3 linked regions of the Caenorhabditis elegans genome follow. The protein of the gene in region 1 purifies or fractionates together with the protein of each later gene. This does not show direct contact. Each region holds a gene or a part of one and is shown in the gene's direction. Other genes may lie near its edges.

Region 1 (6,916 bases):
ATTCAATTGAGAAATATATTTTATGTTAAAATTTTCAATTTTCGGAGATTGTTGCATCGTAATTTATCAGAAGGAAGTTTAGAAGACACATAAAAGATACAATAATCTCAAGATATTTAAAAGAATACAAATTTGATACAAAATGTTAAAATTTAAATTATTCGGTGAGAGAGAGATTCAGAATAAAATATATGCGAGTTAACAGGATTTTATACGTCTGGAAGTGCAACTTTGGCTGGTTGTGCTGGAATCGGAGATACACCACGCTCCACAATTTCATTGTATGATGGTGGCTCGTCACGATACGTGCTGAAATTTGCTAAATGAGTATATGTTTCAAAAATATTTGAAACTTTTTCAAGTTAGGTGGATTTAGGGATTGAGTTTGAGATATATAAAAACACATTAAAAGAACATACCTGATTCCATTATCAGTGATAAAGAACGGGCTTGTTGGTACAGTAAGTGAATTTCGATAAATCATTGGTGGAATTACCATTGTAACATCAACAATCGGAGAAGGCTGGAAAAATGTGGAAATTACTATAATTGACCCTATTCATACAAAATGCATTAGCCTATTCAATATAATCTAAACCAACATGTCATTTCAATTCCCATAATTTCCATAAATTTTCGATTTTCCCTCACTTTATTCTATTTTCTTTTGTTCTTTCTTTACGGACAGCGGAAGGCGATGACTGGCTGAGATTTTAATTTATTGTTTCTTCTTTATTTTATATTTTCTTTCAAGTTGACTGTTGTGAACAAAAACTGTATATTCAATGTGTTTTCTGGAACGTTTTATGAACGTAGAAATATGTAGCTATAATATTTTTGTAATTTCAGTGCATCGACCCTTTTAGGCGCACCTATCGATTCCTGTAAATACACGAAAATAGCATATATTTAAAGAGTCATATTCTGTTAGTTATCCAAACACTCTTCTTTTGTCCTTTTATTTGCTCACTAGACTTTTTTGCAGTAGTTATTTCTCTCTGCAAGTCTTTAGCTTCAATTGTTGTTCAATTCTTCAATTCTAGATGCTCTTTCTCCATTTCCAATTTGAAATTCCATTTACCCTTTTGGGCGCGAAACTACAATCAATTGGCTGCTCGCGGAGCAAGACAACAGAAATGGAAGGACCGAAGAAGATGGGAGAAAGAAGACGCCGGCGCCTTTTCTTTTTTCTCCATTTTCTTCTTCTTATTTTTCCCGTCTTTTTGAGAGCATGTTTATACTTATTTCACATGCATAAATGCCTGCTCACTAAAAGAAAAAAACGGAAAAGCGACGTATAATTTGTGGTTTTTTTCGTTATAATAGACCACTCCATCGAGATATCAAATTTCTCGTAATATTTCAAATCGCTTCACATTTAGACTGGTTGTTTCATGAGAATTGAAACATTTTTTGGCATAGTCTCTCCTCCTGTGCGCACACTCACATCTGCCTTCAAAACCAACATGTGTTAAATTGGAGCGGAATGACATGACGCGTCTGCCGTCCATCCAACGATGTCCTCTCTATGGTATCTCTTGCATCTCTTCTTCTTCGTTTTTGCCCCATTCGGACACAGCTGCTCTGGGTGTTGTCTCCCCGCACTCACACCACTAACCACTTTCTACAACTTTTTGTGCGTCGACTTTTTTGCCCTTTGTATTTTCCTAGTTTATCTTTTCCATCTATTCTCCGTTATTCAAATTTGAATTTCCCGCCAAAATTTGTGGCCGGGAAAAACGACACCTCTCAGCCATGGAGTCCTCTCGAATTATCGAACATTGTCCGCTAATTTTGAATTTCGACGTCAGAAAAGTTTCTGGTTTTTAACAGCTTTAATCTTTTTTTCAGATTTTCTCAAACCATTTTACATTTTTTATGGGATGACTAGCCGAATGCAACCAAAAAGCGGAGTTTACTCGGTTAGCAAAGCGGATTTCACAAAGATTTTCGAAGATGTCCCAAAAGTGGTGAGTATTAATAGGTACTTATAATAGTTCAACATGCCCAAATATAAAAAACACTCCAAAAATTTTTGAACATTTTTCAAAATATTTGAAAAAATTCAGAATTTCAAAAATTTGGTAAAATGCCAATTTACGAAAAGTATGGACTTTTTGGGTAATTTCGAGCACTGCTGCTGATTAGAACCCATTTAATGTTCAAATAGAAATATTTAAGTCAAACTCAAACCCAATTAAAAGAAAAAAAATGTCAAACTCGTAGTTAAAATTTATTTTTTCGATCGACATCCAAATTTATGATAGGTGAAAATTAAAGTAAGTACCATTTTTTGACTGTAAAATAACAAATTTCAAGTAATTTTTAAACGGTTTCTATGATATTTTGTCATTTTCGCACCATATAAGTAGTTTCAAACATTTCCCTTTTTGGCGATTGCAAATATGTTCCAATCAATACAACACTAGATAAAAATCTTTTAAGCCCATCACTTCTGCCGTGGACCTTCGTAATAAATTCGATGCAGTTCGAATTATTTTATCAAATAGTTCCGAAGACTGGAATAAACGACAAACTCAATTAAAAACTGTCCGAAGTCTAGTGATTCATGGGGAGAAAGTTGTCGATCGACCAACAATGATTGCTCATCTTGTTCAACTTCTTGGTTGTTTCGAGTTGGCAGTGAAGGATCTTCGATCACAAGTTTTACGAGAAGCCGCAATAACATGCAGTTTCATTGTTAGTAAATATGGAATCGAGACTCATTCAATTGGAGAGGATATTCTCGTTCCAGCAATGTCACAAGTTGCTGTTAGCACGAAGATTATGGCCACTTCAGCGAGCACATTGACAGAATTTATTGTAGAAGTACGTTTTTTGAATCCACAAACTTATAAGATTTCCCTAAAATTTCAGTATGTACAAACCCGTCAAGTGTTCACAATTCTCTCTTCGTTCTCAACATCCAAGGACAAATCTCAAAGAAGACAGCTGGCTGCTCTTCTAGAAATTGTTATCAGTAAATGGAGTGATAGAATCAAAAAGGTAGTTTACTAATTGATAATAACTAATTGAAATATTGTATTTTTTCAGCAAATAATGCGTCAAATCTGCGAGCTCATAAAATCAGCAATCAATGATGCTGACTCGGAGACAAGAGCAGCTGGTAGAAGAGCATTTGCAAAACTTGACGAAATGCATTCCGAAGAAGCTGATGCTTTGTATCTAGAACTCGATCATTCCAAACAGAAAATGCTTAGAGGGGGAGATGCAGCGTCTTCATGGGCAAGTGTGAATAGTGAAAAGGGCTCAATACCAATTCGTTCGAAATTATCAGCTGGATCGAAAGCTCATATGAATATCAGTGCGAGTAAGTTTTTGATTTCAAACTGGATGTTCAAAGTTACTTTGAAACAGAATTTCTCGCGCAAAGAAGTGCGTCTGCAATTGATCCAAAAGCTACAAAGTTTGCTGGACCTAGTCGACTGGTTCGTCCGACTTCTACAAAAACAATGGCAAGGCAAGATACTTCACCAGCTGGATGTAAGTATTCTAATTTTATATCTATGTTTTTCAAAACTCTCTTGCTTTCCGCCAAAATTCCATATCCAAACCGGCCCGGATCTAGAACAAGAACATCTTCAATTACTTCCACCGACTCTCGTGACACATCTCCAACCAGAAGGAATTCTCCATTACCACCAGAAACACAGAAAGCTAGAGTCAAATATGGAAACGGGTCTTTCTTTGCAAAACTTGGAATGCCGGATACTACCGACGATGATGAGTTTTTACTACCGATTCGAATAAGATCTCCCTTGAAAACACCGACAATAGAAGCACACGACAAGGTTTCCCAAGTTTTGAAAGAATGTTGCTCTTCTTCAGTTTCGGAGAAAAAGGAAGGAATCAAGAAACTGTTGCCTATTGTAGCGTGAGTTTTTTAAAGTTCAAAATGTTTTGACCTCAAAAAATTTAAAATTTCAGTGACACTAGTCTAAACCCAATTGAGATCAAAAACATTGGAAATTGTCTAAATCGGTTGCTTTCGGATGCTTCAAATACCGTAAGCTGATTCAGAAGAGTGCTTTGATTATTTAAAAAATAACTCAAATTTAGATGGTTCTTGAGATCTACTCTATATTCGTTCGAACCCATAGTAGTCGATTATCCGAATGGCTTCGATTAGCTCTTGCAAAATTGTTTGCTCGGAAAGCCGCTGAAACTCTGCCCAACACTAAAAAACAAATTGGTCATACTTTGAACGTCATCCTTGAATGCTTCAATGCTCATCACCAACTTGTCACAGTCTGCGAGCTAATGTGCGATCCGATACATTTGATGGTTCCAAAGGTTGGTATTTTCCCATTAGATTTTTAAAAATACATCATTTTTAAGAATTGTTAAATAATTTTCAAAAAAAATTTCAGGCTCGTGTTGTACTGCTGGAGTATTTGACAAGTCTGCTAGATGAGTATACGGAACCTGGAGCATCCATTAATGCTAAAGAATTGAAGACCGCAATCCGAAAAATGCTCACATGGGCCTCTGATCCTAGACTGTCAATTCTACTAACACCACATGTTGAGAAAGCGATTTGCTCCATGTTTTGTGTTAATGTCGCTGATTTCTCTGCACTAATTAGCGATCTTGACAGTGAGCAGAAGAACTGGATACACCAAACACTTCAGAGAAATGGACTCGAAAATGGAATAAGGTTTGTTCAGTATGGTCATGCATTCGTTATGAGAAATGAGAAATGACTTCAAACTCCCCATAGACATGGCTCATCACTTTTTTGCAGTAGCAACAACATCGCAACCAACTCTGGAGCAACGGCTTCTCGTGAAACAAGCAACACTTCTTTCCAAAAAGAGTCAACATCATTCGGTCTACCCGAGTTTGGAGCACGAAAAGGCGGAACTGGCGTCAATCTCGGCTCGCTCAATATCTCTAACAATCTGGCATTGAGTAGGCTAGAAGAGCAATCAACGTCAAGGCTCATGGAGAAAGTTAATGTGAGTGTTTTTATTCTCTCAATAATTATAGATTTATTCAATTTTTAGAATTTAATTTTCCAGTTTCGTTGAGTAAATAGAAAAAAAAACATTAAAAACATTTTATTTCGTATTAAATAGCAAAATTTTTTACTAAAATTTAAAGAGAGAATATAGTAAAATATTTGATTTATCTGTAAATAATTTTTATTTCAGTCTGAAAAAACACTGAAAAAGTTGTCGGAAAGTTTAAAGTTTCCATTAAAACATTTTGAAGACTTGTTGGATTTTATTTCGGCAATTTTCAACCTTTAGGAAATTTTTGAACATTTGTCCAAATGTTCTAACTAAAATAACAATTATTTTGAGATAAAACAAATATTTGCATATGTTACGTCACTAAATTTCAATTAAAATGATTGAAATAACATTTTTTTAATTTTCTTTTTCCTAGTTTAATATTCAACATTTCCAGCTAAACTCCACTGTCACACTCCCACCTGATACACTGGAAAAAATCCAGAACGTTCAAGACCTCCTACAAAAGATGAGAAGCTCTGAAAACGCGGATGAGCAAGAAAGTGCAATAAGCTCTATTTACATGATGATCTGCGATGGAGGTTTCGGTGTGTGGGAGCAGTGTTATGCAAAACTTCTTCTCAACTTATTCGAAATTCTTTCAAAAAGTCGATCAGAAAATAATAAGAAAATGTGCCTACGAATTCTCGGGAAGATGTGCACCGCGCAAGCTGCAAAACTGTTTGATTCGACTGAAATGGCAGTGTGCAAAGTTCTGGATGCAGCTGTAAATACGAACGACGCAACAACGGCTCTTGCTGTGGAAGATTGTTTGAGAACATTGGCAACTCATCTACCACTTTCAAATATTATTAATATTGCAAAAGTTATTCTAAATCAAGAACCTATCGACGATGAAAGAGCTTCTCTAGTTCTTAAAATGGTAACACGATTATTTGAGGAACTTCCAGCAGAGGAGTTGAATAATATTGTAGATGATATCACTCCAACGATTATTAAAGTGAGTCACGAAAACTTTAGCAAACTCAATTGGAACTCATAACATTTTCAGGCGTATCAATCTACGTCATCAACTGTTAGGAAGACCGTCGTCTATTGTCTTGTCGCCATGGTAAATCGAGTTGGCGAGCAAAGGATGACACCACATTTCACCAAGCTGCCAAAAGCAATGGTAAGGCTTCATATTTGATTGCGTTTCATGATAGCATCACACTTTCCAGACCAATCTCATACAAGTCTACGTCAACAGGGCGATCTCAACAAGTTTACCAAGGCTATAATTTCAAATTTAACTGTTTCTAGATCTCAAATTGACATGATGCATCAAAACGGGTAAAACTCGCATTTGTTTTCAATATTTAATACTTGTTTGGTTTCCAGCTTTCAAATTTAAATAAAATTTCAAAAGTATAAAGTGTAAAATCAACTAACCGGCACAGGTGACACAGGTCGACTATCCTCCCAAGCAATCGGAGAGGATAGAGGAATCACTGATGCACAGCTTTTACGACCCGAATGAATTAGATATGCGAATCGAGCAAAGCAAAATCCAAGAAAGAACAGCACCCAAGAGAGAATATACGGGATGAGAAGAAGTGGGATACTTCTGTAAATAAGGAGGGGTTTATGATTTTGAAGACAGTGTGAAACGTACTGTTTACTGACGATGGACAGAAATATAATATTCTCGACGATTATTAAGATTGCGAAAAAAATTGCAACGCTGGATATTCCAATGAATACATTTCTGTAACGAAAATTTTTTTGATCGAAGATTTGAGCCAAGTTTGGGCAAAAAACTGGCGTCCATATTAGACAGACTTACCGATATGGTCGGAATTTAAGAACAACGCCAGGAGTTAAATATTCTTGTAATTGAAAGCACATTTCCTAGCAATCAAATTATTTGAAATGAAGAT
Region 2 (3,638 bases), on another chromosome or scaffold:
TAGAGTAGAGTAGAAAATTTGGTTAAGCTAATTGTTTTTCAGTCTACCATAGAAGCCCCGTAGAACTATTAAAAATTTGAGTAAAAATAATTAATTTTCAAATCTAAAAATCTGAACATCTGCTTCAAACATATTCGTTTAGTACTATTTCGATGCAACTAATTTGCTAAATATTTATATTTGTAGCCAATTTCTGAACCAACTGAACATTTTCTGATAAATCTTGAGCAAGAAATTGGCTTCAAAAGTCGCAATGAATATTTTTAAGGAAAACCTACTCTACGCAATCAAATGCATCCGGATTACCACCCGACTTACAAAAAGAATTCCGAATATGAAGATGCACAGGAGGATTTTGATGATATTGAGCTGAAAGTTTTCCAAAAATTGTGTAATATGGAGGACAACTTGTTCAAGCAGATAATCGATTTTGAAAAACCAAAGGAACAGTTTACCGCACCACCACACCCACAAATGACTCACCGTGTTGCCCAACCTCATTATGTTCCAGTGGAATATTTCAATCACACGATATCAGACTTGCTTAGACAAATATCAGGTCTGCAGCATGAGCAAGCTATGCAAAATGGACAAATGCAGCATATGGCCAATGAAATTCGAAGCATTGGAAATGCAGTTTGCAGTCTACACTCATCACAACTACAACAGCCGCCTAACAGTGCCGCAAGCATGTTTCCGTACCCGATTCATCCGATGCCTTCAACCTTTCCACAGCAAGCACCTCATGCTCCAAATGCTCCTCAAATGACAGCCAACTCAATGCAAAGCATCGCAGAGCTCATACTCGCGCAAAGAGGAATCGCACCAAGAAGAGAAAGACGTCTCACAGAAGGTCCTAAAAAGTATAACAGAGTGATCCCACCTTCACCCCGAATTCCAAGTTCAACTGATAAAAAGGAAATGCTGAAAAAATCGAATGATCGGTTTGATAAGCTTAGAGAAGAAGTTTCCGATGTAAGGACACAATTGTCTGGTTTGGAAGGTACGTTGTTTCTGTCAGACATTTTCAACTTTCTAGAGCACCCCGCAAGCTTTTTCTCGCACACTCTCAACCTTCTGTCGCAGAAATTTGTATAAGTATAATCACGTGCAGACGACTATACGATCTCTAAGGGATCCTTGATGCTTTGAGCTTGAAGCTTTTGATCTTCAAACAGGACAGAAATCAAATTTGGAACTATCAAAAGGCATTTAGCGCTCAAAAAATAACGGCGAAAAAAGATTAGAAGCGCGTTAGCTACCAAGAAAATAAGCTCGCCAGAAAAGTATAAGCCCCTATATTTCCAGACACTACTTTCAAAAAGCCGAAAAAGCTGCACTTCCTTGAACCAGACGAAGAATCAGAGAGTGAGAATTGAAATGATAAATCTCAGTTTAATTCTCAAGTTTCAGGCGACGAGAACGGCAATGATGTGGACGAATTTTCAGAAGCTGATGATGATGATGAGGACGTGGATCGAGAAATGAAAGTTCTTGTCGAGTCACTCAAAAACCGCGTTCAATAGTTTTTTACCCCAAAACTCAATCAAACTACTCTCAAAAATTGAAATTCCTATATCTTTTGATTTCAATTGTGCATGTTTTTTCTTATCTTCTTCCTGTGTTCTCATCCCCAATTTTCTGGTTTTCATATGGAAATCTGTGACAAAACGATTCCATATCCTCAATTACACATAGAAACCCCATTTTTACTGTACGTTTCCAGCTACCTTTCCTTTCATAGTATCCTAGTTTCACTTGAATTTCCTGCTTTTTCGTCCTGCTATAAAAAGTTATACAACTGGGAAATAACCCCGGGAAACTAAATTAAACTTATTTAAAGAGTTTATAATCTCTGCTTTTTACTTTTCACTTTTAATTTATTTTTTTTTAAACTAAATTTTCAAGCATTTTTAGCAACTGCAAACCAGCCATGTCCGAGATCGTCGAAGTTCCAGATTCTCCGCCAAGATCTCCGGAAGTCGAGTGCCCATTCAGTGAGGGTGAGGAAAATTTATCTGAAACCCTGATAATTTTTTTTTCAGAAGGTTCCTCCGAAAAGTCGATGGAGACTAGAAAGCGGGTCGCTGAAGAGGCTGAGGGGAAAGAAGGCGACGATGATGGTTAGTATAGTTTGAATATTTAAATTGCAGACAAACTCGGAATGCATTTAAATTTATTAGAACAAACTGGAAATTATTTTTGGTAAATTTTCAAAAAGTTCATCCGTTTAGTTTTTGAGTGATTTCAGTTTTTACCGAAATTTTTCTATGTTGAACTAAAATATACGACATTCTTCTGTTATTTGCAAGACGTCGCCAATGTTTTCGAATTAGTTTTCAATTTATTTTATTGAAATATTACTCAAAAAATATGTTTGGCGAGTTTTAGAAAATTCTGACAAAATTTTTTGTTGATATATTTTTACTATAATATCTCATAAAATAATTATAATCGTCTAATTTTCAATGAAAAATCAAGAAATACAGACAACATATATTTTTATATCAGCATAAAATTTCAGTTATCGAAGTTCCACCACCAAAGAAGGTGAAGCCATCCTTTGAAGAAGTTCATCAGCTCATTGAAGACGACACGTACGACGAGGAAGAGCTCAAGAAAGCCAATGGAGGATCCGTTGTTGAGGAAAAGGGTTCCACTGAAGTTGAAGCTCAAGATGAGCAAGTTGCCGAGAGTGAGGAGCAACCAAATGAGCCGGAAGAAGAAGAAGAAGAGGCTGATGAGGAAGAAAATGACGAGGAGTAGATTTTAAATTGTCTAAAGATTCTCTTTATAATTATAATCAAATACCACTAGATCTTTCCATTTATTCTCAAGATCTCATCTATCATCATATTAGCGTATGAATCGTAAAATCTCAAAAAATGTTTGTTTGTTTTTTCTGGACCTTTTTTTTTAGCTCAAGCTCAAGCAAAAAGCTCAGTTTGCTCGCTTTTTGTTTATTATTTTCAAATAGCTCACAGTTTTCAACGTCTCGCAAACAGTTCTTTTTTTATTCTAAACCATTTTTCCCTCATTTTTACACTTCAAATGTCGATTTCTATAGCTTTTTTGGTTGTTCTGGAGTTAAAATTTAAATAAACTAGATATTGGCTAACCTACATTCGATATGTTCTTGAGATCATTAGATGTCTAGAATATTAGGTCAATTGACAAGAGGACTTTCTTACATATTGTCACACTATAACAGGTGCTGTAAGAGGAGGCGATGTCTCAAATGGTAGACTGTTGTAAAAGGAGAATATCGTGAAGAGATAGAGATGTACCAAAAATAAAGAATCGTAAACTTTCCGATCGATCAAAATACATTCCTTCCCATCTACATCGTTAATGCACTCCCTCCAGACTCCACCCATAAAAAACCAATCAATATTTACTCTAGACATCAATGTCTCTCAATTTCCTATTGTGTCTCTAATTATTGGAATATTTTCCAGCGTCCGAGAGCGCACAACAATCTGGAAACACAAAATGTAGTCATTCAGTCTTCAATTGTTTCTATTGTTTGGTCGAAGGCCCCTTTCTCATGTTTTATTCTTTTATTTTTCCTTTATCAGTCTTTATCTCTGTTTACGTAAATAGGAATTACTTTTTGCCCTCAATGTCAGCTAAATTAT
Region 3 (5,589 bases), on another chromosome or scaffold:
AATGGTCATTCTTCTGACGATGTATCAGAAATGGTCATTCTTCTGACAATTGGCAACCGACTTGTCTCCGAGAGAACTGCAAATCACTCAGCAATCTGGACACATCAAATTGCTGAACAATTCCGGGAGACGTATTGTGTTTGGAGTGAGCACGGCGCTTAAAAAAGCAACAAGTACTCCGACAGGAGTTCTGGATCCAAATGAAGCGGCTCTTTTCACAGTGAAGTGTGATGGAAAGGATGTAAGTGGGGAAAGGCATGAGCGCAAGGGTGGTTGAGTTTTCGGCAATTAGAAGATTTGCCAAAAAAGGAGAATTGTAGTATAAAACTTTAACTTTCTATACATTTCGGAGCGTAGAAATGTATTCCGTTGAAAAATTTTAATTTTTCAAATTAAAACTGCCCAAAACTCAAAAAAGAAAATTGTCGAAATTGCCGAAAATTCAAAACCCGGCAATATGGGCCTACGTGGAAATATCTCCCACTTTTTATCGATCAAGAAGGAAGTTGATGTTTTAAATTTTAAATTTCAAAATTTATTTTAAAATCGTTGTGAAACGTATGACTATGCAAGCTTACCCGATTGATAAAAAGTTGGAAGCAATTACACGTAGCCGCAATGTTTCATTTATTAAAATTTTCAAAATTTTCAGCAAAACGACCGTATCACTATCATCTACACAAATCCTCCAGATGGAACCGACAAGCAGTATCGATCCGAATACTTTCTCCGTGAAGACGCTCTGATCGTCAGAAAGAATCTCTCGACACGCTTTGAGAAGATTACAGCTGTACTTGCAAAATTCGAAAAGGCTAATTAGTTTGTAAATGATATTTTTGCTTAAAAATAAAGTCTGTGTCTTGATTCCGAAACAAAAATGAAAAGAATGACAATGTTTGCAATTCTTTTGGAATTTTTTCGTCAGCGGATTGTGCAGCAGCACGTGGTGATCGTGAGAATGCTTGATCACTTTTAGCTGTGGTCAAGAATGTGTAAACTGGGAACATCGAACACATACTAGAATTTAGTCGACTATGAAATCAAGAGAATATATTTAGATTTTTTTCAAAGATTAAAAAAGGTTTAAAAAAACTTTTTTTTTTCAAGATTTTATGAATCACTTTTCAATCATACTCGGAAGTTAGTCATGTTTTTGTCCCGTTGCGTTTTTGAAAAACTGGAATCTGGAAAACTTAGATTATTGGAGGAAAAGTTACACAAGAGGGTATTTTTTCGAATAATCAAAATATGACAATATATAATAAAAGTTGAAATTTTTGGAAATTTTTGGAAATGTCAAAGTTTCGGTTAATTTGAACAAACATTATGTTTAGAAGTTAAAACATTTTTTTTTTAATTTCAAAAACAAACATGAAAAAAGGTTGAATTCCGGCATTAATGAATTCTCTAGTTTTTGGCATTTTTGCATTTTACCTTATATTAATTGGTTTTTGTTTATGTTATCTTTGATTTTTGATTTGAAAAACATAAATTGACAAGGTTTTATAATTTTTTCCGCAAAAAAAGATCAAATTAATAAATAAATTAACATAGTCAGAAAATGCAATAATTTTAAAACCCCTAGGTTATTCATTTGCACGAGAGTTCTAAATTGATTCAGTCTTTTTATTTATCGCAAAATTGAAAATAAAATTAGAAAAATGCTATACATTAGGGTGATACGGTTAGATTTGGTACAATGATTCTGTCATTTAGGGCAAAAAATCCATAGGTGCTACTCCACCTTCATATTCCCAAAATTCAATAATTATTCAACCTTTTCCAAATATCTCTACCTCGATCATGTAATAAGATAAATCGTAATGATTACGCAAATCCAAATACAAACATTAAAGGAGACGCACGCATATTCTGTCATTCATTAGATAATTTGGAGAGAGGCGAAAAGATATTTGAACAAATAATAAATGAATGTGTCAAAAGTTGAACGGGCACATTTTGATATTCAACGTTTTCCAAATCAGTGAATTATGAGCTTTATCAGTGCGACTAAATTCGTAATATTTTTTGCTGCTTCAATAAATGCACAAAAAGTTGAACAAGATCATTCGGTTCGTTTTTTTAAAATTTTATTGTGTTCACAGGAAATTTTCAGGTAGTAAATAGAGTTTCAAATATTGCGGAAAAATACAGTAATTGGGCTCTAGGAAAATCAGATTATCGAAATGGAAATTTGAATAATTTTCAAGTCACTCAAGTTCAAAGTCCTCCAAGAAACTACAATACAGGTGAGGGTTTCAGATAACTTTTGTAACTATTTTAAAACTCACTAGTTTGTAGTCAAATCTAGTAGCTTGCCTTTTTTTAACTTTTTAGAGATTGAATAGTGTTTTTAACTCAACACTTTTGCTTTTGAAGTTTAGTTATAAACTAGGCAAGACCTAGTTTAAGCTTTGCCCAAATTTAAATGTTGAACAAACTTCTCTCGTGTGGTTTTAAACTTGCCAAAATATTGCTCAACTCTTTCTTACCTGTTGCCTAAGCTTTGCCTAAGTTTGGCCACCTGTTGAACTAGCTAATATTTTTTTGACAAAACTTGGCCAAGAATCTAAATATTGGAAAATACCTAGCAGTTGTAGGAGATTATTTTTAAAAAATTTTCTGATTTATCACATCAGTTTCAAAAACTATACCTATTTTGAATTTCAGCTCCAGTAAAACGATTTTTTCATCAAGTCCGAATCCAGCCGCCTCTTATCATCAAACCTGTAACTTATTCGGAAACATCTTATCAACCAATTGACATCTACTCAACTACACAAACTCCAATCCTGACAACTCCACCATATCCTTCTCGGATTTCTCATTTTCCAACTGAAAATCGTCAAATCTTCCGATCTCCAGTACGACAACATTACCAGCCATCTCCAAATTTTCCAAGACTTTTGGAAACTGAAGTACCAGTTTCTCAGTCATCTCCGATGTTTACTTCAAATTCTTCATTACTCCCACCACATATGTCTCAAAACTTTGGCTCTTCAATATTAACACAACTTCTTAACCCAATTCTACAAGAACCTAATATTCCAACAGCGCCTCCAAATTTACAAATATCACCTCAAATGCACATTAATCCAAATTTCCCGACATTAGTTCCATTACCAATTCCTCAACCGGTAGTTCTTGAACCGACTAAAGAAGAAGTGATGAAAATTGCATCGAAGAAGAATCTATACGGAATGCCAAGATTTCCAATCGAACCTCACCGTGGATTTTTTCAGGTTTGATATATATTTATTAAAACTTCAAACATCTAAAACCGTTAGGCATCAATGAGCTGCATGGATGGCTGGTGTGGAAATGAATGCTGTGAACCGAGGAGACCATTTGCAGCACCTACCACTACGATCCAAGCAAGCGTGCTACCAGGTACAGTAGAAGGGGTAAAAAAATAATAAATTTTTTTTTTCAGGCTCACCAAGCCCACCGCATCCCCTGGTTTTAGTTGTACATCCCGCACCACAGGCACAATGCTCTCCGGCCTGCCAACCTCATTGTAGTCAGCAATGTGTTGCTAGACTTCAATATATGCATGAGTCACAGTTCTACAACCACATTTTGGAGCCAAGTTGCCGTCCAGATTGGTATGATTTTTTATGTAACTGAAAATTTCTTCCATATAGGCGCCAAAATGCGTGCCTTGCAGATCTTCTGCTAAAACACATATTTAAGAACTTTTTTCATCTCGTTATTTGACTTTCATTAAATTGATTGCTATCAGAAAGTTAGTACTTTAGTAAATTTAGTAAATTTTTAAGTAAATTTATGTCAAATTGAAGGAAAAAGGTCGGCAGGTCTCAGGCAGGTAAATAAAGGCATTTAGCTCAGCCAACCTCCTAAATTCGTACAATCCCATAAAATTTTTTTCGAATTTTCAAAACGTCTAAATATAAAATTCGAAAAAAATTTAATTGAATATTTTCATTTAATCAATAATTTATGTTCCAGTATGCCATCCTGCCACGTCGATTGCCTCATAATTCCTCCACAGCAAGTCCGATGCAATAGCTTCAATTGTCAGTGTTTGGCTGGCTACGTGCAATGTGCCGCATTTACTTGTTGCATGAGATACCCGGTGAGAATATCCGTTTGGGAAAATCCAAACAACATGTATTTTCCTTCCAGAATCTGGCTGCAAGAATGAAATCCAACGTGATGGCAAAGTCATCTGAAGAAGAGGTGAGATGGAGGAAAGAGTGTAGTGCCAAAATTGAATATTTTTAGGCAAACGTTAGCGAGGAGGGGAAACAAGATAATGAGATCAGCTATCGAAGAATGTATACGCCTAATAGAATGAGGGCTGGAAAGGGGAAATACGGTTGGGAATATCAAGGGGACATCATCTCGAATCAATTGTTTTCAGACATTGAGAATGTGACATCACCACCAGTTATTAGACCTTCTTATTGGACAAAACATCGAGTGAAGTCAACGAAAGAACCAAAAACTACAATATTCACAACAACTCCAGTGCCATGCCCCACGACCACATCTACGACAACAAGTGCAACTACACTAGTTCCAACCACATCTAGTTCTACAACTACTACAACAACTACTACACCAGTACCCGTTACATCTACAACAACTGAACCTACTACGACAACATATACAACTTCAACTAGTACTAGCACCACAACTACACTTCCACCGACAACATCCACCCCAAAAATTGTGGTTAACCTAACTCCTATCTATCCGGATATGTTAATGAAAGCAAACAAAGTTCCAATGATACCAGCCTACGGAATTTGGACAATTCCGCCCCATGTACCACCCTCTTCAAAAGAATTTGATAACCCATTGAGTGGAATAAAAACCTCGCCAACTGAAAAGCGGAATTCTATTGGTGATATTCGCGGGAGACATGTTATCCGGTCTGAAAACTTTTTGGATGTTCTCAGTGAGCTGGCGCAGGTTTGAAATTCACTTCATGTATCTATCCTACATACAATTTTTAGGTGAAGCTTAAAGAGGATATAACGGATGACTTTTCACATGCAGCAAATTTCATCGATTTTATGACGGACAGATTTAGCAAAATTTAGGAAAATTTTATAGCTGGATATTGAACTATTGGACTGAATTTATGTATTTGTACAAATAAAATATTTCTGAAAATCCGAGAGATTTTATCATGAACATTTTCACATTCTAATGTTCTAGAAAATGGAGTGCGGGATTTTTTTTCACCATTTTTTTGGTTTCTTCACTGATAAAATCAAAAGAATTGTTGTTGTTGTTGTTGTATCTGATCTTAGAAACTTTAAAAAAAAGTATTATTAATTATTTGTTTACAGTTTGGTCATTCAAAAAATGTCATTTTTCAGCTATATAAACATTTTTAAAGCCTTCAGAATTTTAAAAATATAAATCAACAGAGTTTAAACTGATAGAGGTGGAGTAGCGCCAGTGGGGAGAAAACCAAAACGACCGAATCTCATAATAAAACACTCCAAAGTTTTAGATTTTTCATAATTTTCGGCCAAGTTTTGGATGTTTGCCAAAATTTTGAAAAATATGAGCTTTTGATGAGATCCAAAGCACTTTCGCTTATTTCGACCCTTA

What was found. The genes of interacting proteins can lie anywhere in the genome.
Region 2: the proteins of cls-3 (region 1) and C35E7.11 fractionate together in Caenorhabditis elegans (co-fractionation; one large-scale study listed by BioGRID). This does not show direct contact.
Region 3: the proteins of cls-3 (region 1) and T09D3.3 fractionate together in Caenorhabditis elegans (co-fractionation; one large-scale study listed by BioGRID). This does not show direct contact.

What each region holds. Positions count from the first base shown.
Region 1 is NC_003281.10:9,186,045-9,192,960, reverse strand, and holds cls-3 (Protein CLASP-3), read left to right. Parts: upstream 1-1,851; 5' UTR 1,852-1,883; coding exon 1,884-1,970; intron 1,971-2,445; coding exon 2,446-2,829; intron 2,830-2,877; coding exon 2,878-3,006; intron 3,007-3,054; coding exon 3,055-3,331; intron 3,332-3,378; coding exon 3,379-3,895; intron 3,896-3,948; coding exon 3,949-4,027; intron 4,028-4,080; coding exon 4,081-4,314; intron 4,315-4,391; coding exon 4,392-4,678; intron 4,679-4,765; coding exon 4,766-4,979; intron 4,980-5,433; coding exon 5,434-5,997; intron 5,998-6,048; coding exon 6,049-6,168; intron 6,169-6,217; coding exon 6,218-6,277; 3' UTR 6,278-6,403; downstream 6,404-6,916. Other genes in the region: ZC84.7 (uncharacterized protein), read right to left, coding at 210-309, 420-523, 6,429-6,603, 6,652-6,744, 6,823-6,884. UniProt on the Caenorhabditis elegans protein: Microtubule plus-end tracking protein that promotes the stabilization of dynamic microtubules.
Region 2 is NC_003279.8:10,842,855-10,846,492, forward strand, and holds C35E7.11 (Glutamic acid-rich protein-like), read left to right. Parts: upstream 1-1,917; 5' UTR 1,918-1,933; coding exon 1,934-2,003; intron 2,004-2,045; coding exon 2,046-2,123; intron 2,124-2,524; coding exon 2,525-2,766; 3' UTR 2,767-3,118; downstream 3,119-3,638. Other genes in the region: C35E7.2 (Reverse transcriptase domain-containing protein), read left to right, coding at 269-1,003, 1,309-1,368, 1,414-1,526.
Region 3 is NC_003283.11:5,345,974-5,351,562, reverse strand, and holds T09D3.3 (EB domain-containing protein), read left to right. Parts: upstream 1-1,991; coding exon 1,992-2,072; intron 2,073-2,116; coding exon 2,117-2,249; intron 2,250-2,670; coding exon 2,671-3,242; intron 3,243-3,287; coding exon 3,288-3,390; intron 3,391-3,433; coding exon 3,434-3,605; intron 3,606-3,969; coding exon 3,970-4,096; intron 4,097-4,146; coding exon 4,147-4,200; intron 4,201-4,245; coding exon 4,246-4,339; intron 4,340-4,384; coding exon 4,385-4,938; intron 4,939-4,982; coding exon 4,983-5,069; downstream 5,070-5,589.